7 linked regions of the Solanum lycopersicum genome follow. The protein of the gene in region 6 binds, or shares a complex with, the protein of the main gene of each other region. Links are inferred from orthologs where the notes say so. Each region holds a gene or a part of one and is shown on either strand. Other genes may lie near its edges.

Region 1 (3,911 bases), on a different chromosome or scaffold from region 6:
TGTAGTCTTCAATACGTCTCCTGCGTTAGTTTCTTCATTCATGTATTGATGCCAATTGTCATATGACGTGGTTGAGTCCTTCTACCAGTCATAGTTGGACCCACGTTCTATCTAAATTTTAGCATTCAACAAACCCCGATGGCTGTAAATTCTTCTCTTCGTTGCTGTCACGCTTACATATTAGGCAGACAAGGTTTTCTATATATTTTGTGTGGTTGCTACTTGTTTTCGGCCACGCCTCAGTTCCAGCACGACAAGAAAATATTCTGGCGATATGCAATCTAAACTCCCAAAGTACCCAGACACAGCCCAAAATGTGTCTACGAATTAAAATCATCAACTCGGTAGGGTAGTTGTGCATGCCAGCTGCCATGTTTTGGGATCACATGTTTACGAAGTCAGTCTGATAATTGCATAACTTTTGACAAGTGCTGGAGCAGAGAAACTAGCCAACTTCTAAATTGAACACGTGGCACAGAAGACACTAATATTTAAGGATGTGGAGACAAAAAAACTGCTGATTTTTGCTATTTAGGCACATTATCCCTACCTCTTTTCATTCTATAAACACAGCTCTAAACCAGATACAATAGTATACTGAATTCTTTTCTTCAGCAGTGGCCAAGAACTTAAAAAAAAAATAATGTCAGAGCATGCCTAATTATAATTAGTTAATAAATGTACCCATAACAGACATGGACACAATCAATTTGTTGTTCCTCCAGGGTATATTCCAGCAAGAATGGGCTCCTCAAGCAAACTGAAATATCTACTACCTTATTCATTCTGGCTTCTTCAAGTTCAGGCAGTTATCTGTTGCTTGGTTAAACAACTCCTGGACCTGCTTTAGCTCCTTCTCTAAATCACCAAAATCAGCAAACTGAGTCTCAGAATAAACAAAAAATTAATAATACAGACAGGAAAACGGAAATTTGGACCTTAGCCTAATCAGAACAGCTTCCACTATCTTTCAGAAAGAAAGCAAGGGAAAAACAAACTCTTACCTGCAGCTTCCAGTTGTTTTTGAAGTTCTTGGCCAACTGCATCGTTCTCAGCCTACATCACATACATACACAACCGAGTAAGACTACTAAGCCCAAAATAGACAGACTAATCTTTATTTATCCTTCTTTATTTTTTTAGTTTAAATACTGTTAAGCTATAACACATCAGAATTAGAGGATGTCAAAAAGTGAATTCCACCAATTATTCACAAAGAAGCATATACCTGGAGTTCTGCAATTCTTTTCAATTGGGCTTCTTCACTCCCATCCGATAAAGGAAGAGCAGCAACCAACACATCGAACTGCTCAAAGAAGGATAAGAAAAAGAGAAGATAGATTTAATACAATGACATTGTAGCAAAGCATACACTTTAGGATCACAATGAAAATTTGCAATTGGTCTGAATTAGAGCCACACAATCCTCAAGGCTACTCTCAAGTGTCGGCTGTGCTGCTTAAGTTTGATAGGATGCTAGATTAGACAACCTCTGATTGTGAGGCCAAGAAGAAAACAAGGGAAACATAACTGTAAACTTGAACACCTTAGAACTAATCACAGGGTTGTCCATATACATTTCATAGAAGACAGCTAAAGGGCGATAAACTAGAACTCAGTTTTCCGGTTTTGACACCAGGTTTACCCGGTGAGTCTTGGCCTAGATGTCATGGTTACCAAACCTGAGAGGCTGACATCAAGTTCTCTAGTAAAAATCCCTAGAGGCATGCAATCCTGTCCAGCTAGTAGTTGGAATTTGTCCGCCATTATGTGATTCAGTCAAGTTTTATTGAAGTAGTTGGTGATGCTAATAGCATTATTGTATTTCTCGTTAAACTAAGGACAAAAGACTAGGTATTTGAACTCAACCACACTGGTCTCAGGAATCAGGACTAAGGTCTTTGAACTCAACCACGCAGGTCTCAAGTCTGAACAAACAAAGACTTAATATCATCTGGTATAGAACTGCATGTACGCATTAGATATGATGAGCCAAGATACAACTTAGTGTTATCTTGTATAGAACTGCACAAACACATCATATATCTAAAGATTTGACGTTTCCAAAAGTAAACATACTAGTCAAAAGAAGACAAAAGAAACATTATTTTGTCCAAAAATGATTTTTTGAAGGAATGGTAAGTGCATTTGTAATACAGCACCAAGAAGGTGCAATCAACAACATTTACAGGGAACACAAAGATATACCTTCCTATTCTTAAAGGGATTCTACAAGTTCAATCACTTATTCAGGCTCATTTACAAAAAAAATGTCTACACAAAAAAGGAAACTAAACTAAATAGTTTATCTTGATCTTCCGAAAAAAGAGAAAATTCCCTATTCTCGAAGTACACGCAGATTACTTTTATACCCTGGTCTGTGGCTTGTTCATATTCGTTGATGAATAAGCAGAAAAAGTGAAGGTATGGAGTATGGAGTTTCACCTGCTTGGCAGCCTTAACAAAAGCAGCACTCATTTGCTTTGGTTGTTCTGCAACATTAGCTGAGTCTTCTGTGGGATTAGCAGGTGGAGGTTCTGGATAATTAGGTGATAGACGCACAGGAGGGGCGTCCCTCTGAAGAGTACCAAAGGTGTTGAAAGCAAGAGCTGCAATTGTATTTACTTGTTCCTGTAACTGTGATATGATATCCATCTTCCAAATCCTTCCCTTTATTGCTAACAAAAATGGTGAATTTTGAGAAAAGATCGAACAAAGGAATAGAAAACAGAGGAGAAGAACTTACCTGAAAACCCTAGAATTGGAGGTCCGGGTAGAGCCGAAGTAGATTCGATAATCTGTTACAATTGTTTTAAAATTAGACCTAAAATTAACCATTATTTCAATTAAATTTTACGAAAAATGCTCAAAAATATTTCTGAATTATCCGAATTAGCTCACATATATCTTTAAATTAAATTCTAGCCCTTCTATTAAAGTATTGAGTTATTTTTACCCTTAATTTTAACAAAGGTGTGTTAAGTGTCACCTGAACGCCACGTGGACACCATATGGATGCCACATGAGCACCAAAAAACATCATCTCCATGTAGACTCATAAATCTTAATTATTAATTTTTTTCTCATTTTCATTCATTTTACTTCTCTAAAACATAATACGATTTCCCTTTTTTTTTCTTAGACGATTTTCTCTCTTATACGATTTTCCCCAGGATTTTACAAATTTCTCTTATGAACGCCATTGAATTTCTGAGTAAATTTCGTCACTTTCTGAGTTTCACCGTTCTTATAGATAATGCACAAACACCAGTCCTAATTTGTAAAGTAACATGCACAAACACCAGTCATAACTCTTCACATTTACTTGTTTTTATTTTAAACCTTTCAACATAAAGTCTGACTTTATCATTATCAAGTGAGCGCTTAAATGACATAAAATGCAACAAAAATAATTTAGCTTTACTATTTTTTTTAATTGTTTTTTTTTTGTTGTTGTAATTTAGGCTTTGAAAAGATGCACGTGGTCAGCATACGACATCTTAGATCAGACACCACAAAAAATTAAAAAAGAAACAAATAAAATTTATGTTTGCCTTCTCATCCTGCTTCTTTCTATCTTCTAAGCATCAACTATGGCTTCTCTTCTCACCAACGGAATCTCACACTTCTGTCCTCAATCCATCGCTGAGCAGCCTAAACTCCCAAAAGGGTATAACTTTTTGCCTAATTCACCCGGCCCCAAAATCTCAAATCCAGGTAATTTCAAGATTAAAGCTGCTGATGCGAAGGCCACTGTTGAAGTTCCAGGTAAAGAATCATCTTTATCAATCTCAAATGAAGGCGACCCACTTCAGAAATTCTTGAAAAGAGACTATAAATGGGGTTTTAATGAAAATATTGAATCTTTTGCGCTGCCAAAAGGGCTTTCGGAGGATACTATTAGGTTAATT
Region 2 (3,689 bases), on a different chromosome or scaffold from region 6:
TACTGAAAATAAGAAGAATATAAAAAGTATATTTCAGTAATTTTTCTAATAATAAATGTGAAATAAAAGTTGGTCTTATGTGATATTGTATGCGTATGAAAAATGTTAGGTCAAATCCATCGATGGCCCCTAAACTTGGCACCAATTTTCACTTAGATACCTCAATCAGGCGATGTTCATTTTAAACACCCCATGTAAGGTTCAACTGTGTCATTTTGATACTTTTCTGACAATAAATAAAAAACTAAAGGAGAGTGTAAATGTGTAATACACTCGTTGATGACGTGGCAAACAATCAATTAAATAATTACATGTATTATTTTCAGTTAAAAATAATTATAAAATCTATTTAGTAAAAAAATTTAAAATATTATTCTACGAAAATTTCTTATTTCATTACACTCAAATCTCTTTTGTGCTTTACAAAAAAATATTATTTTCTTTTACTATTTTTCATATTTATTCTTCTTTTTAGTATTGTTTTTCTTTAAAAAAAGAAAGGAGGGAGAGAATAAACATGAAATATGGGTGTTGGTATCCATTTTTCCGGCAAAAAATAGAGTGAGGTGAAGATAGACTTAGATAAGTAATACAATGATGAAGAAGAAAATGACTTAACAACGAATTTGAATAAAAAATTTGACCTCCATTGAAGGAATTTAAATTCGAAAAAAAAGGGGGTGGTGGCTTGGAGAAGAAGAAGATAAAATAAAATTAAAAATGGCTAAATTAAGTCTTTCACGCGCTATTGTTAAGTGTATCACACTCACTTTGACATGTCAGCAAAAAGTGCCAAAATGACACAACAGAACCCTACACGAGGTGTCTAAAATGAACATCGCCTAATTTAGGTGTTCTAAGTGAAAATCGATAGCAAGTTTAGGAGGTCACCGATGAATTTGACAAGTTTGAGCAATTAAACAAAATATTTAATTTAAACATTAATGTAAAATTAATTTTATTCATCACATATAATATAATTACTCATCAATAATATATAACACTAACAAATGAAAAAAAATATATGTCTCATTTTAATGTACATAGAACACTTAATATATAATACTAATGATGAAAATACAAATAAAATAAAAATTAAGATACATAAATAATACTACTCCTTTAGTCCAATAAAATAGCACTCGTATATATATAAATAATTATTAGAAACTCAAACAATTATTACTCAATTATGATTTTATTCAAATATATTTTAAAAATCTTACACTCTAAAATATTAATTTTGAAACTAAAGGGAAGCTTTGTGTTACAAATGAAAACTATTGGGGAGGAATATGTAATTATTTCGAAACAGAGTGAGGGGAGAAGAGAAAAAAACCAAAAAAAGACAGAGGAGAAGATTGTGGAAGCCATTTTCTTCCTTCAGTCAAGTAAGTAGAAAAACCCTAGTCTTTGTGGTTTTTCTTCTTTTCATTTGCTTAAATTTATTTGAGTATTTTCAAGAAATTTGTGTATTGCATCAATTTTGTTTCAGTTGATTTCTTGCTTTTGAGTGTTTTGGGTAATCATAGAAAATTGTTTCTTGGGTTTGTTTTTGTATGCAGAATTTGATAGCATAATAGCTCTTTAATTGTTGTACAAAGATTCAATTTTTAATGATGAAATTACTACAAAGATTCAATTTTTAGTGATGGTCTTGCTAAAGATTCAATTTTAATGATGTTGTTGCTATAAAGATTCAATTTTTAATGATGGTCTTGATACAAAGATTAAATTTTTAATGATGTTCTTGCTAATTTATTCTCTCCTTTATAGATTTACGGAGGTTAGTGATCAATTAGGGCTTCGAGGGGTTGTGATGGATAATCTCGTAGATGCACTGAGCAGTGCATATCAAGACTTTGTTGCAGCATCAGCTGTTGTACTTGAATCAAAGGAGAGTTCTAATGGTCAGAAAACAGCAGCAACTGATGCTGCATTAGAAAACTTTAAGCAAAAGTGGGAGTTGTTCAGGGTTGCGTGTGATCAGGCGGAGGAGTTTGTGGAATCGGTTAAGCAAAGAATTGGCTCCGAGTGTCTTGTGGATGAGGCTACAGGCACTGTTTCAGGGAAGCCTGGGCAACCAGCTGCAAGTGGCCTTCAACCCATTAGTGCTGTTAGGTTGGAGCAGATGAGTAAAGCTGTAAGATGGCTAGTGATAGAACTGCAACATGGTTCTGGAGCGAATAGTGCTTCAGCAGTACATCCCAATCCTTCTGCTCCATTTGATGCCAGATTTTCTGAAGATGCAGCTCAATAGGTATACTGAAATCTCGCTGATACTTCCTGTCCTTGTCGTTTCCGTTGACTATGTTAAATAATCTGGAAACAAATTTGTATTATTTAATGAACTATTAGTGATAGGCTTTGTATCCTAGACTTGATGATGAAGCAAATAAGTGAACATTCCCTTGGAACTGAAACTGATTCATATATAAGAGCTGCTATTACAAAACCGCTGGTCTTGTATAAATTTCCAGGTTGATAGAAAAGTAGTAGAAGCTAACAAAACTGCTTTTTAGTGGCATCATATGTTCTCTTCCATCAGAACGAATAACTGTGAGTAACCACTAGTTTCTGCAGCAATTATGTTATATGTACTATCCTTACTTTATTTATGAAGAATACTATCCTTACTTATTAAGCTAAGTTTGACCCAACTTCTTTTTTTATGATCAATTATGTACTATCCTTACTTATTAAGCTGAGTTTGACCCAACACTTCTGACAGACAAATGGAAACTAGAAAAAAAAAATTGGTTTCGTTTTATTCTGTTTTCATCGCTGTAAAACAAAGAACTATTAGTTGTGACTGTTTTCAGGTAACTACAGAGTCTGGTGATCAGCAGAGAGAAACAGAAGATCTTATGTGCCTTAGTAAGCCGCTAAAGTTGATGTTTGATGTATGAAGTCATGTTGTAACGATGTAGAAGAAATACTTTGGAATGATATTTGTAAACCACCTTTACCGCCTCCCTCCCTCGCCATCTTATGAGAAGATCTGGCAAATTTACATTTGTGTTTTCTAGGCACAGAGATTTACTTTTATCGCAGTATGAGCTACTGCACTGTTAGCTTTATTTAGATCTTAAGCATACCAACATATACAAACAGGCTGTATGTTTGTGTCTGCTATGTGTACCTTATATTCTCGAGTATTTATGTTTATAATCGATTTTTGTTAGGAAATATATCTCCAATCTTGTAAAGTGGCTTTTTAGTTAATTGTGTTAACCCTGATGAACTCATTCAGTAGGCTTTGGAGACCTCTGGAATTGTTGCAACAGAGTATTATGACGCTTTGAGTGTAGCAGTATTAGTAAATACGCTTTAGCTTACAACTACATCTTGATTGCTACACAAATGCTCAGTATCCATGTCGCTCCATTTAACCTTATCTCAGTCTAATATTTAGTTGTACTGTATAATAACTTTGAAAACAGAAGTTCTCACTTGTCACTGCACTTGGAAACGTCTTTGTCCAATAACGCAAACTAATACTAGTAAATGAGAGATCTATGATGTAAAAGTTCTGATGGTTATTGAGAATCGTCTGAAGGGATGACAAGCAGAGGCTACTCTATAAAGCTATATATATCAGAAAAAACAACGCTCTTTTCATTAATTTTATGCAGACCCAAGAAGAAATGGGTTTTGAGGCAACATACAATGCTTAAGAGCATCTTTTG
Region 3 (2,545 bases), on a different chromosome or scaffold from region 6:
TGACAGGAATACAAGAAAACTTGTTACGTTTAAGTATAGGTCAAAGAGCTTCTCTGTCCATTTCACTTGTACCATCTGCTGACGATGGTCAGACAGCTAATGCTGTGGGTGATGAACATCCAGAAACTGCTATTGTGCCTTTTGAATCAGTTGATGCTTCAAAACAAGATGAAGGGAAACTTGACTTGAAAAAGTTGGGGTTTCCCAATCGAATTAGTTTTGAAATTTATTTGCAACAACTTTTTCATGAACATGTGTTTATAAAAGCCAAAAATAGATTATCATCTTTGGGCAAACCTGAAATATCTTCTCAACCTGTGAAAGATGGTCCCAACCTTTTGGGACATTTCTGCGTCTCTCTAGCTCATAGGATCTTCTCAAACAAAGTCCTCGCAGAGCTCGAAAGTCTGGTATGAACTTTTCTGTCTGGGTTTGTAAACTGCTAGCTAATGTAGCCATTATGTATCTGAAGAATTCCTTGTTTTGTCTGTAGGTTAGCAGGGTACCATATGTCCAATTAATATCGCATCCCACTTGGCATTCTCGAACATCATCATGGACGCTTTCCATGGATGTACCCGAGTCAATTCTCCATGCAGGAAGCCTGTCTCACTCATCTGACTATGTAAAGAATGTGAAATTTCACTTTCGTACAAAAGTCATGGTGCGTGATGATTGCATCAGTCTGGAAGGGGAAGGTGCTCCTAATATTGTTGGCCTCTTCAAAGGAAAGCCTGATAGTATTTGCCCTATGAACAGATATGATTGTGACTTGTCAGATCTTCCGATGGTTCTATTGCAGCAGGTCTGTGTCCTCATCCTCTTTACTATTGTGTTTTGATATGAAAATGGGTGACCATACTATGAAGAATCGTTCATTTTCTGGCCGGATAAACTTCTATTCATCCTAGAGCTGGTACTTCCTTAAAAAAGAAAGCCTATGATCCTAGACTTTTTTTATTTTTCCTGTGATTCAGTTGAACCATCCAAACTCTTTGAGTCTTTTTCTGTTGTATTGCGTGGGGTGATTTATGTGATACGAGTAGCATAGAAGGTTTTCAAACTGTTTGTGTTGCTGCCTAGGATAATTTGCTATCTTGTGGTCGGGGACCAAACTTCTGGTGGATAGCTGTGGTCATGATGGTGAGGGAGAATGTTGTTTTGTTACCATAGAAACAAATGTGAAGCCCCAGCCTCAGTCCTCACCCACCTCCAAATCACTGCTTTAGTTAGGCGCCTGTCACGAGTTTGAATCTTGTCGCAGAGTATAGAGGGGCAAACCTATTATCCTTTAGATTTCAAACCTTTTGCCAGTTGGCACTGGGGGATTGGGGAGACAAGGGAACATAATGTTCCGCACCATCATAGGGAATCTCAAAGCCCCAAGCTCCATTTTCTCAGTTATCACAGAAAGGGAAAAGCAAAAGCATCACATTTGTACCCTTCCTTTCGATAAACAAATCAATATACAATCTACGTTGGAAATCAATGTCACTTCCAATCTTGCAGCAACCTTATGTCAAGCTATTAATTTCTTCTTCAGGTTGCCAGCCAGGTGATACGATGGCTTCATGAAGAAGCCCTTATGGTTGGTATCAAAGCAAACCGGGATTTCTTATCCTTGTCATTTGAGCTAGAGCAAGGAGAAACACTCAGTCTCGTGGCACACGTAGACCCTGAAGATATTCAAGGATGTATTTCCTGGTGGTTGGTGATGGGCGATGGATTCTCTGAAGAAAACAAACTTCAAATGGACGTTAACAGTGGTGAATCCGAAACTAGGAAATTCTTAGGTTATTTATCTTTAGAAGTGTTATACTCAACCTTAATGGATATGGTTAGCGTTAGTAGTACTGCAGGCCATTGATTTGTCTCTACGTATCTGTATTTTTTTTTCTTCGTTTCTTCGAAGAATATTTATCTTGTACAAATTATGTAGCTGAGAATATCATACATCCAATAGCTCATAAGCTAAATCATTGTGGATTCAATTTTTTTTTAAAAAAGTAAATTGTTTGTTGGATTTATTCCATCATTTGGAGAAACTATAGGTTCTTGTGTATACACTTCTCCTCTAAGCAATGTCTATGTACATCTTAACATCTCCGAATTTAACTTGTACGATTTTTTAAAATTATACTGGGTATGTTATTGTTGTTGTTGTCCTACATTTCTTGGAAACCTACTTCATTGATACATTTGCAACTAAAAACAATATTTGTTGAGAAGAAATATTTTCAAAGTTTCTATTTTCAAGTAAAGTTTTTGTAGTTTAAATCATCAAAACATATAGAAAGAAACCTCTTATTTGTGGCTATGAAGAGTCGAGTGTGCATTTTAAATTATTAATTAGGTCACTTTAGTCTTGTCTTAATCCAAATTCATCATTCATTAAGACTTACCAATAAGAGATAAACCAAACAATTTGATCACAATAAATAACATAAACAATTTTTGACAAGACTAATAAACCACTAATAAGAGAAGCTTCATCAAACATGAACCCCACTAAAAAGGAAATATTTAACTTATACCCATTTGTAGT
Region 4 (3,500 bases), on a different chromosome or scaffold from region 6:
CATCAAAGCTGCTGCCAGAGATGGAAGTCGAAGATAATGCCAAAAGGGAGCAATTATTACACAGCATGCAACACCTATCGGTAGCATCCCAAATTGAGAAGTTGAAGGTGGAAAGCTCTGCAGATGCTATTTCTTCTGTTTCTGTATCCTTGTGGCTTTCTAATATACCTATAACACACAGGTTAGAATTGATATGATTGGAGCAGCATGTGAAAGTGCTGAGAAAGTCATAGCTGATACGCGCAAAGCCTACTTTGGAACCAGACAGGGGCCAACACTGCTTCCAACTATTGACAAGGCACAAGCAGCAAAAATTCAGGAACAAGAAAATTTACTTCGCACTGCAGTAAATCATGGTGAAGGTGATAATATTTATGTTCTGAGTTTTTTCCCAGAAACATCTTTTCTCCTTCTCAGAGTTCGTTAAATGTTTTGCTTGCACAAGACATTGACGCTAAAGATACTTGGACCCCAATGGTCCCTATGTTGATGTTTAATCTAAACTAAAAGAAAGAGAGAAGGATTCTTGCAAACTATCAGATCCACTGAGTGCCTTGTTAATCAGAAAATTGCACATATTTCTGATGACGAAGAAGGTGCAATTGCAAGTCAGATGCTTCAATGTGCTTCTGCTATGCATCACAATATATATGTACAATAAACCTGACATGTGTCTAGTGTGTGTAGCATCCCTTTGGTGGTGTTTGGCGGTACACTCGTTTATGATTTGTTTTAACATGTATGCTCACAGATTTCATGAAAATGGTACTTATGCAGGATTACGTGTACCTGGAGACCAAAGGCATATTACTTCTGCACTTCCTGGTCATTTGGTAGATGTGCTTACAGTGTCTGATGGCCCCCAGTCTTTCGCTGATTCATCCGGTAGCCTATCATCTATTGTTGTCCTACTGTTTCCACTTTATTTCATGAACATCTGACTAGAGAAATTGATGCTGTGTTCAAGTAGGGACTTATCTGAAGAATACTCCTCCCTTTCCATCGAGCAATGTTAATAGTCAGGGAGCTTTGTTACAGGTCAGATTTCTTATAATTTGCCTTGTAAATATGCCTTTTGCTTAAGGGATGAAGATCAATTTGAAACATGATTTTACTTCCACCCTCCGGCGTCCTGTAATGTTGTTATTCAAAGGAGCTATGAACAAAGGGACAAGTGGTTATCTTGTTAATGAGTGAATATCAATTTGGAACACATGAATTTTACTTCCACCACCCATAATTTTGTTACTAAAGGAGTTATGAATAAGGAACAAGTAGTTATCACACAATTATGCTATTCTATCTTTATCATTTAAAAAATTATGCTATGGTTTCTTTCTGTTTCGAAAAAAGGAGCCTTAACAAAGATAAGCGGTATGCCGTGTTACCAGGGGGTCACAGGTTTAGCCATGTGTAGGTCTCTCGCAAAAATGCAAAGTAAGGTCTGCACCTTCTCTAGTCCCAGGTATAGAGGGAGCCTAGTGAATTGGGCTACCTTTTTGTCGTCTTCTGTATGGTTCTACTATCTCTTTTACTGTTCTCGGGGAGGGAATTGTCATGCCTTTTTATTCCCAGTTCACTCTAGGTTTACAGACCTCTTTTTAGGTTGGCCAACCTGATTATTTTCACATGTTCCATAGCACCAAATGGATACCAAAAAACTGCACATCTTAGAATGGGTTTAGATCAATTAGTTACTGAAGGAGTTTACTAGGTCCACTATAGTATTTAATAATCATATACATGTTCTATGTTACACACCAAATACACTACCCTGATTGTAATTAATATCAACTACTGCATGTTCTTTGTATACTTACATCCTTGGTTACACATCAACTTCTCGTGCAAGTTGTAACGCCTGTTTTTTTTTTTTCTGGGGGTGAAAGAGCTGTAGGAATTATTTCCCTCATTTATTTGAATTTATTGGAGGATGGGAGATCAAGTAGAGTTTGCTATTAAATACTTATGTAAGAGTTCGGAGAGGAAATGCAAATCTCCTTCTATTCATGGCGCTAATCAGTAATATGGAAACAATAAATGATTAATCTGCCAGAAGTATACTGATCATATCCTTTTTCCATTCTTTCTCCTTAACTAAACATTACATTAAATCAATGTTCCCCAAGTTATTTTAATATATTGAGTCCTTATTGTCTTTTAAGTTCGTCAGTTCTAATATGTATGTATTGCTCTTGGAGTAGGCTTCTGGAGCACTTCGGGCTGCAGTTTCTCCTTCTGGGCCCACTTCCTTTGATACTACAACAGCATCACCTCTGCAACATGTCAACTCACCTAGGTCTAGTGCTAACATGATGAATACACCATCTCCTCAGCAACAGACCCATCAGCAACAGCAGCAGCAACAGCAGCAGCAGCAGTTGCAGCAGCATCAGCTCCAACAGAGGCAGAAAATGCTGCAGTTACCTCAGCATCAGCAGCAAATTCTTGCCCAACAGCAACTTAGGCAAGCCTCAATGCCTGGACTGGGGCAGGTACAGTTTGTACAAAAATCTTGATTGGTTTAAGGTATCTTTTTGTGAATTTGCACGACGTATAGCGTGCTTAGTATGGGCTACCTTACCATTACCCTTTTACTCATAAAGAACAGGCATATATCTTCTTTTGTTTCCTCCAATTGTCAGCTATGAGAATTGAATCCCTAGCAGTTCCTTCACAGAAAAGCCACTTTTTTTGGCCTTTAATATCCAACTAGTTCCATTAGGGAATCCACTGAGTCCTTTATGACAACCCGTAAATAGATTTAGCGGTGAGAGGGCCTGATGAATCACCATCCAACTGCGAACGCCTCTCATCTCGCAAAATTTACAAAAGTTGAAGGCTAAAATTGTTTACCTCATTCAACTCTTGAGTCATTATGATTCATTTAAAAGGTCCAGAAAAGAGTTCTCTCAGGCCTCTGCCACATCCCATGTTGACTTTTAACAAATTGGGAGAAGTCCTCCTAGTTGTGTGGTATCCCGTATCCCCATCCTAGCTGCTCTTTGATAAGGACTGGTAACTTGTCATCCCCATTTCCTTTCCACGTGTACTCCTCTGAACCATGCTCCAGTGCAATCTTTATCAACCCTTGACCTCCAATTAGGGATGTTCATGGTTCGGTTTGGGTCAGTATTGGTTGAAACCAAAACCAAATACATATCAATCAGTTTGGTTGTTGTTATTTGGTTTGGTTCAGTTTTAATGATACCTAATGATATTTCTCTCTTCAATTTTTCCCCTTACAATTAAGAAGGATTTTCCCATCCTTTTTCATCTTTGTGATGTCTTCCATTCAAAATACTTTTGATCATTCATCTAAAGAGGATTCTGGGTTTCTTTTATCCGAAGCGAATGCTTAGCCTATTTTGTGTTCTTTTTACAGTCAAAGACTGACATAAAATAACAAAGAAAATAGATTCATAAATTGGATCCACTGTTTTGATATGCTTAATGGTAAATCCTAGTATGTGAGGACAGGCCACTAGTTTTACAGCCAA
Region 5 (4,015 bases), on a different chromosome or scaffold from region 6:
ATTTTGGGCAGCAAATGGAAAAGACAAATAAAATAGACAGTTTGTTGGAGATGGTCTGAATTATGTATGGTTGTGGTTTGGTCACTCTTAAGCTCCCCTCTCCTAAACCTCCTTATCCCCAACTTCAAATCCTAATAGCTACATGCAATAAGACCAATGGTGTTTAATTTTATTAAAGGACTATTTATTACTCCATGTTAGGGTAGATACAAAATGCTTTGGTATAGACAGAGATGAAGATTTTGTAGTGTATGGTAAAGCGTCTTGTTAATAGGAAAAAGCATGGACATACCAATTGAAGTAGTCCAAATTGGTAATTGTATAAAGGGTAAACAAATCTAAAATTTGGTTGGAAACATTGGTCATCGAAATATGATTTCGTAGTTGTAGGTCCAAAACCCCCAATTTCCATGCTCATTTTAGGCATGGTATTATGCACCTCTCTTTCATGACACATATATTCAGTTGTGGCCCGTAGACATGTTTCTTTGAGAAATAACCGAAACAGAGTCAACTTGAATTCAAGCTTATAAATATCAAAAGTGATATAAGATTTTTATTCCAAACCAAAATCATGAAGGTTGCATCCAAAATCGCCCTTTTTTTTTTAACCCCTTGGACTAAAATCACAATTTTCACATTTATATAACTACGAATTTAAGCTTAAAAATTCATGCATACTAATAAAAAACTGGTCAAAACTTAGATATAAAGCGCGCAAGCGAGACTCAAAAACGTGTTGAGGGCTTCGCGTCGCTTTATGTGCACTTTAGTGTCTTCACCAATGTTCTAAGGCAAACGTCACCTTACCAATGAGCCTCTTATGAGACAGTGAAGTTAAATCACTGATATTTCACTTTGTCATAATTATTTTCAATTTCTTTGATCATATATTTGACATATTCATGTTTATAGTTATTAGTTTTGGACTAAACATGCATACTTATACTCTTTTCCTCCCTTTGCGTCTTTTTTCATCAAAGCTTACATTTTATTTGCGCTTAAATTCCCCATGGATCGTAAGAGCTTTTTTGCGCTTTTCATCTTTAGTAACACTGGTATAATCACATATGAGAATTATGACTTCACTTAAAAAAAAGATTTCTAACCATTTCAATCTGATCGACTGTATAATCTAGGTGAGTAAATGAATCTAATGACACACTCATATTGAGCAAATAAAAATTAGGATCAAAATCAAATACAAGATGTCATTTTAACACTGAAATTTTATTTCAATATGAATTTAATCCATTTTTACATTACATCTTAAAAATGCAATGAATTTCAGACTTTCCTTTTGTATATATAGCGCAGCAATACAATCAACGGCTAACTTTGAAAAGTAGAATTAGTTAGGGTTTAGCGCATGGCTTCTACATCGAATCCAGAAACCCATGAATCACCGTAAGCAGAATCAATTCATCTCAAATCAATTTGCATCTTCGCAAATTCACATTAATCAACTGTTTTTTCTGTTCCAATTTGCAGGCAGAAAAGCGTCTATAAAGATCCCGATGATGGGCGCCAACGTTTCTTACTCGAACTCGAATTTGTTCAATGCCTTGCTAACCCAACTTACATTCACTGTATCTATCTATCTATTCCCTTCTCTTATTTAAACATGATGTTTTCTGGGTATTTACCAATTATTGTTAGTTTTATGTTATATATGTTGTTGGTGTGAAAATGAATATTGGGTTGCAAAAGCTTCAATTTTTCTATCCCTTTTTCATTTTTTGTTTTGTTTTGTGGACTTTGTATTGATTCTGATGCAGATTTGGCTCAGAACAGATATTTTGAAGATGAAGCTTTTATTGGGTACTTGAAGTACCTTCAGTACTGGCAACGACCTGAGTACATAAAGTTTATAATGTAAGTTAGTTTATAGTATTAATATGTGATAATAGTTATGTATGTTCTTTCTACTGCAACTTTTTAGATGCAGTGGATGATGGTCCTTGTTCCTTTTCTGTTTCCTGTGGACTATGGATATCGTTAACTAATCGTATTGGTTTTCCTTTCTTGATGTTAATGCAGGTATCCACACTGCCTATTCTTTCTCGAGCTTCTCCAAAATCCAACATTTCGTAATGCAATGGCTCATCCTGCTAACAAGGTAAAAAGTTATGTCATGTGTTGTCCTGGTTTCCTTCTCCACTTTTGCTATACTCTTTAGTTAGTTAAGACTGTCAGCCACTATAAAGAAGGTTCACCCCACTTTCTGTAAACACAGTTTCTATGGACTAAAAATGCTGCCAAAACACTTTATAATACATGGTACTTCATTGTCTTAGCCATTAGCCTTATTTCCATTTCTGAACTTTCCCGTAGTTTCTAGGCATAAAACTTATAATTATTTAATCGTGTTGTCGAGGTTAATTCTCGCCCCGAGGACATCTCATCTCATTTCACTGTTTATTATTTATTGCACTTTGTTTGCCAACCTAAAGTTCTGGCACATAAATCTGTGATAGGATCTGATCTACATGTTTGTAACAACTATTAGGAAGTAGCACATAGGCAGCAATTTTACTTCTGGAAGAACTACAGAAATAACCGGTTGAAACATATTTTGCCGCGGCCGCTTCCTGAGCCTGCAACTGCACCAAGTTCTGCTCCACCTGCATCACTACCATCAAGTGTAGCCCCTCCAACTGCTCCACCTCCTGCTCCTACACCTGTTACAGCTGCAGCTCTTTCCCCGATGCAGTATGCCATCCCTCCTGGATCTGGTCTTGCTAAAACGGACCCAAGGAATGCTTCTGTTGATCGAAGAAAGAGAAAGTATTTCCTCTCCTCTTTTACTTTTCTCTTACTGTGAAAACTTTGTCAATGCTTGTTGTTGCATGCTCCCTCTTGTTATGATTTTATATTTTAGGGTTAGATTTGTGACGTAATGTTTCTGAAATGGTTATTGACTTGGATAATTTTGTTTTAGCAGGAAAGACGGATAATTTTATTTTACTCATAGCACAGACCTCCTATCAACTAATTTATGAATTAAGGTAATACATTTTGCACCCCATGATTTCATTTTTCGAATAGGTGTTGCAGTTCCTCATTGGCAAACACATTAATGAAATCCTATTAAGAGTGTGATTTGTTGTTTATTGAATTTTAGAGTCCTTCCCAAGTCTCAAGCATGATCAATGACCTGTACTTTCTTTCTCATGTCAGAAAACATAGTGCTAAAGTTTTGCGAGAGATCAACTACACATTTGTTGGGTTCACTAGGATCAAATTTCTTTAAGAAATAAATGTAGAACTAATTTTATTCCCAAACCAAGTAACCAAAACAGAAAGGAAGCAGCCTGCCTTTGAACTCTTTTGGGATGCCCTCGTTTGTGGTTTCAATTGCTTAATTTTTTAGGCTTAGCTCAGACATCTGGTGATAGGTGACTGGAAGATTGCCAATGCACACTTATAGCAGTAATGGGTTATCAATGGAGTGAAGAATTCGAATCACCATATTGACATGTGAACTTCAGATTTTGATGATAAATGAAGGAGCAACTTCTCTAGTGTGGTCTAAGTATATGAACCTTTGCCTATAATCTATGGTAAATGGGAGGAGTATTTATGGTCTTTGATGCACTTCACTTGGGCAAGGTTACGGTCCCTCTCCTCGGCTAGCCTGTACGAATTCCTATAATCACCTTTGCCTTTGTAGTTATTCTTTCCCCTTCGACTGTTCCAATTCCGTGTCCTCAAAGTTGCAGGTACTGACTCTCAAGGGCCTACTGTCTTTCCAGAAAACTAACAAAAGAGGAACTTTATCCATTTGGCTTGAATTGGGTGGTGTGACACTTAAGAATCGGTACAACCTAGATCTATAGACCTGAAATTAAGTGCAGCACACAAAATTATATTAGCTGTATCACTTTCATTAACGGAATTCCAAGGATTTCATGTTATCACTCATCTCTTTTCTCGTTTTGGTCAAGTGAAGTGCTTCCCCATATATATTTATGAGTTTCAGTTTGAAACTATGCCGTGTGTCCTTTTCTCGACA
Region 6 (4,086 bases):
AATGTAAGAACTTAAATGTAAAACCGATCAAATATATATACTAGATCAACATTTTCATAATAATACACTCATCATCTCAAAATTCTAAATTTGCCTATAAATTGAATATATGATTTTCGTATAAAGTGTTTTACTGAACTCGTACACGACTAAACTAGTTGTTACATTCATGTTTAATTGTTTGGGATGTGTTTGATGAATTTGGGATGAGATAAGAAAATGAATTGATTTTTAATTTGTATATAATAAAGGAAAAGGGGATAAATATACCCTTAAATTATCGTAAATGATATGTTGATTCTGTTATTGCACGAATTATATACACGACAATACTTAATTTATTACAATTTAATTTATAAATGCATAGAGTTTCTTTTAATTCCCAATCTAAGCATATTTTAACTAGGAAAAAAACATACTCTCCTAGTCCACTTTTATTGTCATGTTGCGCTTTTCGAAAGTTAACTTATCTAATTTTTGAAGTTAAATTAAATTACGTTAATTCAATTTTTTTTTAAAAAATAGATATTTAAAAATTATACAAAAAGTAATATAAATTACAATTTTTACATATCACTATGATAAAAATATTAATCAAAATTCTTATACCTTGATTCTTAAAAAAGAAAGTCATGAAAATTAATTATGGACGGAGAAAATAGTAGTTAATCATAATAAAAATTGTCAACGATCCTCGTCAAAATGCTAATCTCGTTGACTAGTTAATTTTCCCGGTCAGCCACCCCCCTCAAACCCCAATCCCAAAAAATTTAATTTTGTTATTTAAAAATACAAACAACTTTAAATTTTTATTTTTTCACTCTTACCCCCTCCCCCTCGCATTACCCCCACCCATACCTCACCCCATAAAATAGTAATTTTGTTTTTAAAAAATATTTTAAATTTAATAAATTATTTTTTACTCTAGTATCAAAAACATTTTTCATTCATAAATCGAACACTATAAATCATTTTCGGAAAATATTTTCTACTCACTTACAAAACATGAGGAAATAATTTCAAACTCTACTTGTTTTTCACGAAAACATTTTTTAGGAAAATATATTTTCCATGAGAAAATACTTTTATCACTATTCAAATCATTTATTTTTTTTTAAATAAAAACTTTTTATATACTACACAATGCTAAAATAAAATCACTATATTAAACATAAATTTTTTTTTCTTAAACTAGCTTAAAACTAGTGAATGGGCCAAGAGATATTGAGTCAATGGCGGCTGGACACGTTGGTAATAGTCAGATATTACTAAAAAAATTTATTACTATGTATGAAATGTATAATATAAAGTCTTTGGGAGTTTTATTTTCTTATTTATACATACACTCAAGAAATCTAGGCGCAATTGTGATTTTTCATCGTTGATCGAAGCCAGAAATTGTGATTATTGATTGTGGATTAAGGAATTTTGGTGCGGAGTTGAAATGGATGGGAATAATTGGAGGGCCGCTCAGGCTCAGGCTCCGGGAGGTGGTGAAGGTGGTGGAGCGGCTGCCGGAGCTATGGAGTCCGGTGATTGGAGGACTCAACTTATGCCCGATTCGCGTCAAAGAATTGTGAATAAGATGTAAGTTTTTTTTTTTTTTAATTTTTGGTTTTGCGACTTGTTCTTGTTTTTTTTTTTATATTTCTGGAATTTTGAATTTTAGGGTTTTTTTTTTGTGTTTTATCGGTTATCTGAAGAAATCCGATTTCGTTAGAAGTATTGATTAATCAATCTGATACATATTTTTTTTCAGTGTCGTTCTGTTTTATGGAAACTTACTTTATTAGGTGAATTTTGGGGGGTTTTTTGTTAATGGTATTGGGTGAGTTAATTGGAATTTTGTGCCCTAGTTATTACCAATTTTGGTAATTAGTCAAGGGGTAACATATGCTTACACTCTGACCCCATGTGTGGGATTACACTAGGTATGTTTTGTTGTTGGGGGTGGGGGTGGTGTTGTGGTGGATCAGTCAAGGAACTAGTTCAAGTGGGAAAACCTAGTTTTACTCACTGTGCTTTATATTTTGTTTTAGATATGTCGAAATGGTTGGCTGTTGTTCGCGATAATTGGATAATAACTACTTATATTTGCTCAGAGGAAATAAGTTTTAGTCTTTTGTAGCAGGGTATGATGTCAAATTATTGTTAATATATTTGAGAAGCATTTATCTAGATTTTGATCTTATCAAGACTTTGTTCTTGATATGTCAAAATGACAGGTTGTCACTGGAGATAATTGGATTATAATTGCTGATATTTGTTTAAAGGAAACAACTTTTACTCTTTTGTAGCAGGGCGTGATGTCGAATTATTTTTAATATATTTGAGAAGTATTTATCTAGATTGTGCTTTTATCAAGAGTTCAGGTTGATCTTTTGTTGATATGATTATATAGAATGGAGACCTTAAAGAGGCATCTTCCTGTTTCTGGGCAAGAAGGAGTACAGGAGCTTAAGAAAATTGCTGTAAGGTTTGAAGAAAAGATCTATTCTGCTGCTACAAGTCAGGTATGTAGTCTAAACTTGTTTCTTATTTGTTCAAATTGTAAAGCTAGCTCATAAACCACCCCTGCCTTTAAAATCCGATATTAGACTTTTGATGCAATTTTGTTTTCAAGACCATATAAGGGAATCACTCATCCCTTTTTCATCCAATGTGTGATTCTTGTTTCAATTTGTTATCCGAGACCATATATCCTTTTTCATCCGATTTGAGACTCTTGATGCAACTTGTTCTCCAAAACCATACAACCATCCATTTATCTGATGATGGATTCTTCTACATAAATGATTCAATTTGTTCTCCTTATCATTGATGTTATTCCTGCTTGTATAAACTTGCATCTAGACACGTTGTATTAGGGATGGCAAGAGGACCAGGTACAGTGCGGTTGCAGGCCAAATCCGCATAATCCTGCGAAGATTTTGACCCCCCACCCATATCATTATGTTTATGTTGATTTTCGTACTCCTAAAGGAAAACATGAATTACCATTTTAGCAATTTTACCAAGACATGGCTGACATTAAAAATAATAATTGGATATTCTTATATTTGCTCTCATCAAGGTTCTTATAACAGGGAAATGGAAGAGCCTGATAGTATATATCAGTTCATCTTAAGCATGTGATTTGTAAATCTTATTTAATTGGTAATTTGTGTAAGTAAAATTACCTATTACAGTGATGTCACAAACAAAAAAAGGGTTAATTCTGCATATTGACATGTTTTTCTCACACGTAAATATTATAGTATCATATTAATTATTATTCCCCAAGAGTGCTCACTATATATATATATATATATATATATATATATATATTTTGATAACCGAGAAATCCGTCTGTGACCCGCCACCCTTTGGACCAATCACAGTCTTCTAAACTAGGTGAATAATGGGCCTGGAGAAATCCGTCTGTGACCCGCCACACTTTTGACCAATCACAATCTTCTAAACTAGGTGAATAATGGGCCTAGAGAAATCCGTCTGTGACCCGCCACCCTTTGGACCAATCACAGTCTTCTAAACTCGGTGGATAATGGGCCCGGCCCTCTACCCTTCTCCACTTAAATACTTAGCGTCGCTTTGCAAGTTTGCATGGTGGGGCTTGAACCTGCAACCTAAGTTACAAATCCTCCACCTTTTGCCGCTTGAGCTAGGCCTTGGGGGCAGTGCTCACTATATATTTGTCAACGCAAAATGGATAGTAATAAGTTATATGGAATTAAATAAAATAATTTCATATTTGAGTAACCGACATAGATTCACAAAATCTACTTTTACACTAATTTTTATACTGACTACCACAAAAAAATAATTTAGATCTAATTTGAATGTCTTTGCATGCCTAAGCAACCTCCACAAAGTAGGTTTAAGGTTTGTGTAAACTCCATCCTCCCCACTCTATCCTCCCAGATCTGGTTGCACGCCTAAGGAAAGAACTTAATTTCTTTTTTTGTTCTTGTTCAAATCGCTGCTTGGAGATTCTTTACTTCAGTAGAGGCCTGAAGGTTTATCGAAAACAATCTCTCTATCTTTATGAGGTAGTGGTAAGGTCTTTGTACATTCCTCACCCTCCCC
Region 7 (3,500 bases), on a different chromosome or scaffold from region 6:
AATTATCTACGGTCTTAATTGCTTTTGATGTTTGCAACTTTCTTCGAGTACACTGTTATCTGGATCTCTCTTTGAGAATCCCGATCAGGAAGCAAGAATTTTTCGGTGTACTCTTAACTATTTCTTGTATTCCAGGAATGGACGCTTCATTCTTCACTCATCCAAGAATGTTATATCATCATCAGTAGTTGTTGAGTGTGAAGAGGCCCTAAACCAGGGAAGTATGTCAGCTGCTGAGGCTTTTATTAGCTTGAGAAGCAAAAGCATTTTACATTTGTTTGCGTGCATTGGGAGGTTCTTAGGCCTTGAGGTATGCATGCATTTTTATCTCTTTTTTTCCTGTCTTTTGGCTATTAGTTGTTCTGTTTATTAATTTTGATAGAGAGGCTTTATTGTTATATTCAGTATTCCTTGTCTTGACTTTTCTGCCAGTTGCCTTCCTTTGACATTTAGGAGTGATCTTAACTTCACATAGGCTTTGCTTAGTCATTAAGTTGCATGGAGCCATATTTTTTTTTAATCGGTGTGGAGCGATAACTATTTTGTTTTACTTTTTTTTAAAAAAAAAATAAGTGTGGTGTCCTGGCCAGCTTGCCTTTGTATGGCTTATGCTTCTCAGTAACTTGATTATTAATTGCCAGTTTGTTTTATTATTTTATCTTGCTGCATATGTTCTGTAGATGCAGTGGCTGGATCAAAGTTTGGTGTTTGCATTTATGCGTTCAATTATAAATCATTTAAGCTTATCTAGTGGTAATTGATATGTTTAGCTATTTTAATGATTATATGATATATGAATTCAAATCCCAGGTCTTTGAACATGGGTCTGCAGCAGTTAAGGTGCCAAAGAGCATTTCTTCTGGTACAAATTTGTTGCTTATGGGTTTTCCAGAATGTGGAAGCTCGTACTTTTTGCTGATGGAACTAGACAAAGATTTCAAACCTGTGTTCAAATTGCTTGAAAGTCGGTCAGATTCACCAGCAAAAGCTCAATCTCTTGCTGATCTGAGTAACGTGGTTCGTGTAGAAACTATTGATGTTGGAAGGATGCAAATATGTGAGGACGAGCTCAATTTGAGTCTTCTCAACAGCAAGAAATTGCTGTCTGTTTTACGTAGTGATGGCGGCAGTCACCAAACTTCTGAAAATAGTCTTCTTGCCGACTTCAGCTTGGAAGGTTCTATAGTTGCTTCCGGTGTGCAATCAACATTTTTGTCTATTGTTGATGAAGTATTCGAACTTGAGAAAGGGTCCTCGGTGCCTTCTTTCTCTGGTCAAATCCCCCCATCAACATTCGGTGCTTCTCCTGCATCTCATTTTGGCACTGGTGTTGCTAATTATCAGAGTCTTAAAGTTGGAACTCTGTCCCCTAAGTGGGATCGTGGAGTAGGAAACTACAGTAACTCCATGTACAAGGGCGTGATACAGTCAGGTTCAGTTGGTTCATTAGCTGCAACTCAAACTGGGAAAAAGTTGACAGCTTCGAAGTCTGAGCAAGATTTGACTTCTCTCCGATCACCTCATTCTGCAGGAGTTGGATCATATACATCATTGGATGAAGACCAGCTGACTGTATCTACAAATCGGTCAGCTCGGCTCCTATCTCCACCACATCGAGTTTCTGCATCAAGTGGAAAAGCTAGTGGCTCAAGAAACTCTGCTGTGGGAACTTTACCAGGTGGTTTCAGGACTGCTGACTCTAACTCATTGGTTTTAAGTCCCGGATGTAAGTCAAATCACCTCTGAGAATGTCTCTTATATATCTGTATGTGGTTGAGTATATACATTTGTCGCTGTAGCTCTCCCCCCCACCCCCCCACCCCCAAATAAATAAATAAATAAAATAAAAATTGAAATAATAATAATAATAACGAAAAACTCCAATGCTCAGGGGACATGGTTATTTTTTATGCATATTTCTCAGAACTGTGTTGCCTTTGTTTTTTGCCAGCCCAAACTATAGATTCAGCAACATGTATAAAGTCAGAGCAAGATGCAGCTTCAGGATATAACATTTTGCCTAGGAAGCGTACATTGTCAGATTTGTTAGATTCACTTCCATCACTTCAATCAATGCAGTCCAATGAAGGATCATATAAGCGAAGAAAACTTGTGGAGTCTGCTGGCACCCATCTACCCAAGTCAATGATGCTTACTTCTTCAGATATTTCTGGGAAAACTGAAGAGTATAGCTATGGAAGTCTTATAGCTGAAGCTAATAAAGGGAATGCACCTTCTAGTATATATGTTTCTTCCCTTCTCCATGTAGTCAGGCATTGCTCACTATGTATCAAACATGCCCGGCTTACTAGTCAGATGGAGGCGCTTGACATCCCATATGTTGAAGAAGTGGGTCTTAGAAGTGCATCCTCGAACTTATGGTTCCGAGTTCCATTTGCCAGAGATGACACCTGGCAACATATATGCCTGCGGCTAGGTAGACCTGGAAGTATGTACTGGGATGTGAAAATTAATGACCAGCACTTCCAGGACTTGTGGGAGCTTCAGAAAGGAAGCAATAGTACTCCATGGGATTCTGGCATTCGGATTGCCAATACATCTGATGCAGATTCTCATATTCGTTATGATTGTGAAGGAGTTGTTTTGAGCTATTATTCAGTTGATGCAGATAGTATAAAGAAGTTGGTGGCCGATATTCAAAGGCTATCTAATGCTCGAACATTTGCGCTTGGAATGCGGAAGTTGCTTGGTGCTAGGGCTGATGAGAAGTTTGAAGAAAATAATGCAAACTCTGAAAGTAAAGCACCGGCTGCACTTAAAGGCACTACTGATGCAACTGATAGAATTTCCGAACAGATGAGAAAGCAATTCAGAATTGAGGCAGTAGGACTGATGAGTCTGTGGTTCAGTTTCGGTTCTGGGGTGCTTGCTCGCTTCGTGGTTGAATGGGAATCTGGTAAAGAGGGCTGCACTATGCATGTTTCACCTGATCAACTTTGGCCACATACAAAGGTTTGGTTTCTATTTTTTTACGTATAAGTTGTTCTGTTTTTCTCCGGTCTCCTTTTATTCCTTTTGTTTTTCTTGTCTACAATTCCATGAGCCTCAAAATGCTTATGAACCTATAATTGGCCTTTTTTTGAGATCTTGAGTTATACGTTGTTCCATTACATTATTGCGGTTTAAGCTAGGAAAGTCCTGTGAAATATTCTGCATGTGGGGGCATAGCCTTTCTATTTTGTTTCTCTTTCAATTATAAGCATTTTCATACCATATTTTAAGCTCAAAACTTTCACTGTTGGTTCCAAACTTAACGACTTCCATATTTTTGTGTTTGGCAAACCACAGTTTCTTGAAGATTTCATCAATGGTGCTGAAGTTGCATCTCTTTTGGACTGCATCCGTCTCACTGCAGGACCCTTGCATGCTCTTGCTGCTGCAACGCGGCCGGCACGAGCAGCTCCAGTTTCTGGTGTTCCTGGTGTTACAGCGCCTATTTCTTCTGTTGCAAAGCAGACTGGTTATGTTCCATCCTTACC

Evidence for each region.
Region 1: mediator of RNA polymerase II transcription subunit 15a (region 6) and mediator of RNA polymerase II transcription subunit 21 share a complex: the UniProt entries of both Arabidopsis thaliana proteins name them as parts of the mediator complex. The link is inferred for Solanum lycopersicum from reciprocal best matches to the Arabidopsis thaliana genes NRB4 and MED21.
Region 2: mediator of RNA polymerase II transcription subunit 15a (region 6) and mediator of RNA polymerase II transcription subunit 32 share a complex: the UniProt entries of both Arabidopsis thaliana proteins name them as parts of the mediator complex. The link is inferred for Solanum lycopersicum from reciprocal best matches to the Arabidopsis thaliana genes NRB4 and MED32.
Region 3: mediator of RNA polymerase II transcription subunit 15a (region 6) and mediator of RNA polymerase II transcription subunit 17 share a complex: the UniProt entries of both Arabidopsis thaliana proteins name them as parts of the mediator complex. The link is inferred for Solanum lycopersicum from reciprocal best matches to the Arabidopsis thaliana genes NRB4 and AT5G20170.
Region 4: mediator of RNA polymerase II transcription subunit 15a (region 6) and mediator of RNA polymerase II transcription subunit 8 share a complex: the UniProt entries of both Arabidopsis thaliana proteins name them as parts of the mediator complex. The link is inferred for Solanum lycopersicum from reciprocal best matches to the Arabidopsis thaliana genes NRB4 and MED8.
Region 5: mediator of RNA polymerase II transcription subunit 15a (region 6) and mediator of RNA polymerase II transcription subunit 31 share a complex: the UniProt entries of both Arabidopsis thaliana proteins name them as parts of the mediator complex. The link is inferred for Solanum lycopersicum from reciprocal best matches to the Arabidopsis thaliana genes NRB4 and MED31.
Region 7: mediator of RNA polymerase II transcription subunit 15a (region 6) and mediator of RNA polymerase II transcription subunit 14 share a complex: the UniProt entries of both Arabidopsis thaliana proteins name them as parts of the mediator complex. The link is inferred for Solanum lycopersicum from reciprocal best matches to the Arabidopsis thaliana genes NRB4 and SWP.

The regions. Positions count from the first base shown.
Region 1 is NC_090801.1:60,839,865-60,843,775, forward strand, and holds mediator of RNA polymerase II transcription subunit 21, read right to left. Parts: upstream 2,656-3,911; coding exon 2,446-2,655; intron 1,307-2,445; coding exon 1,229-1,306; intron 1,057-1,228; coding exon 1,005-1,056; intron 881-1,004; coding exon of another isoform or gene 873-880; exon of another isoform or gene 859-872; coding exon 782-858; 3' UTR 501-781; downstream 1-500. Other genes in the region: iron-sulfur cluster assembly SufBD family protein ABCI8, chloroplastic, read left to right, coding at 3,594-3,911. UniProt on the Arabidopsis thaliana protein: Component of the Mediator complex, a coactivator involved in the regulated transcription of nearly all RNA polymerase II-dependent genes.
Region 2 is NC_090807.1:64,223,280-64,226,968, reverse strand, and holds mediator of RNA polymerase II transcription subunit 32, read left to right. Parts: upstream 1-1,245; 5' UTR 1,246-1,391; intron 1,392-1,393; exon of another isoform or gene 1,394-1,522; intron 1,523-1,776; 5' UTR 1,777-1,819; coding exon 1,820-2,260; intron 2,261-2,806; exon of another isoform or gene 2,807-2,822; 3' UTR 2,823-3,189; downstream 3,190-3,689. UniProt on the Arabidopsis thaliana protein: Component of the Mediator complex, a coactivator involved in the regulated transcription of nearly all RNA polymerase II-dependent genes.
Region 3 is NC_090811.1:1,518,090-1,520,634, forward strand, and holds the end of mediator of RNA polymerase II transcription subunit 17, read left to right. Parts: coding exon 1-410; intron 411-493; coding exon 494-805; intron 806-1,543; coding exon 1,544-1,867; 3' UTR 1,868-2,045; downstream 2,046-2,545. UniProt on the Arabidopsis thaliana protein: Component of the Mediator complex, a coactivator involved in the regulated transcription of nearly all RNA polymerase II-dependent genes.
Region 4 is NC_090802.1:67,516,184-67,519,683, forward strand, and holds part of mediator of RNA polymerase II transcription subunit 8, read left to right. Parts: coding exon 1-107; intron 108-181; coding exon 182-362; intron 363-777; coding exon 778-885; intron 886-967; coding exon 968-1,038; intron 1,039-2,204; coding exon 2,205-2,495; intron 2,496-3,500. UniProt on the Arabidopsis thaliana protein: Component of the Mediator complex, a coactivator involved in the regulated transcription of nearly all RNA polymerase II-dependent genes.
Region 5 is NC_090802.1:52,519,641-52,523,655, reverse strand, and holds the start of mediator of RNA polymerase II transcription subunit 31, read left to right. Parts: upstream 1-1,215; 5' UTR 1,216-1,369; coding exon 1,370-1,407; intron 1,408-1,491; coding exon 1,492-1,589; intron 1,590-1,778; coding exon 1,779-1,875; intron 1,876-2,040; coding exon 2,041-2,119; intron 2,120-2,509; coding exon 2,510-2,787; intron 2,788-2,941; coding exon 2,942-2,957; 3' UTR 2,958-3,008; intron 3,009-3,180; exon of another isoform or gene 3,181-3,924; intron 3,925-4,015. UniProt on the Arabidopsis thaliana protein: Component of the Mediator complex, a coactivator involved in the regulated transcription of nearly all RNA polymerase II-dependent genes.
Region 6 is NC_090803.1:3,490,980-3,495,065, forward strand, and holds the start of mediator of RNA polymerase II transcription subunit 15a, read left to right. Parts: upstream 1-1,286; 5' UTR 1,287-1,444; coding exon 1,445-1,587; intron 1,588-2,401; coding exon 2,402-2,513; intron 2,514-4,086. UniProt on the Arabidopsis thaliana protein: Component of the Mediator complex, a coactivator involved in the regulated transcription of nearly all RNA polymerase II-dependent genes.
Region 7 is NC_090800.1:84,070,838-84,074,337, reverse strand, and holds part of mediator of RNA polymerase II transcription subunit 14, read left to right. Parts: intron 1-135; coding exon 136-310; intron 311-810; coding exon 811-1,726; intron 1,727-1,951; coding exon 1,952-2,973; intron 2,974-3,309; coding exon 3,310-3,500. UniProt on the Arabidopsis thaliana protein: Component of the Mediator complex, a coactivator involved in the regulated transcription of nearly all RNA polymerase II-dependent genes.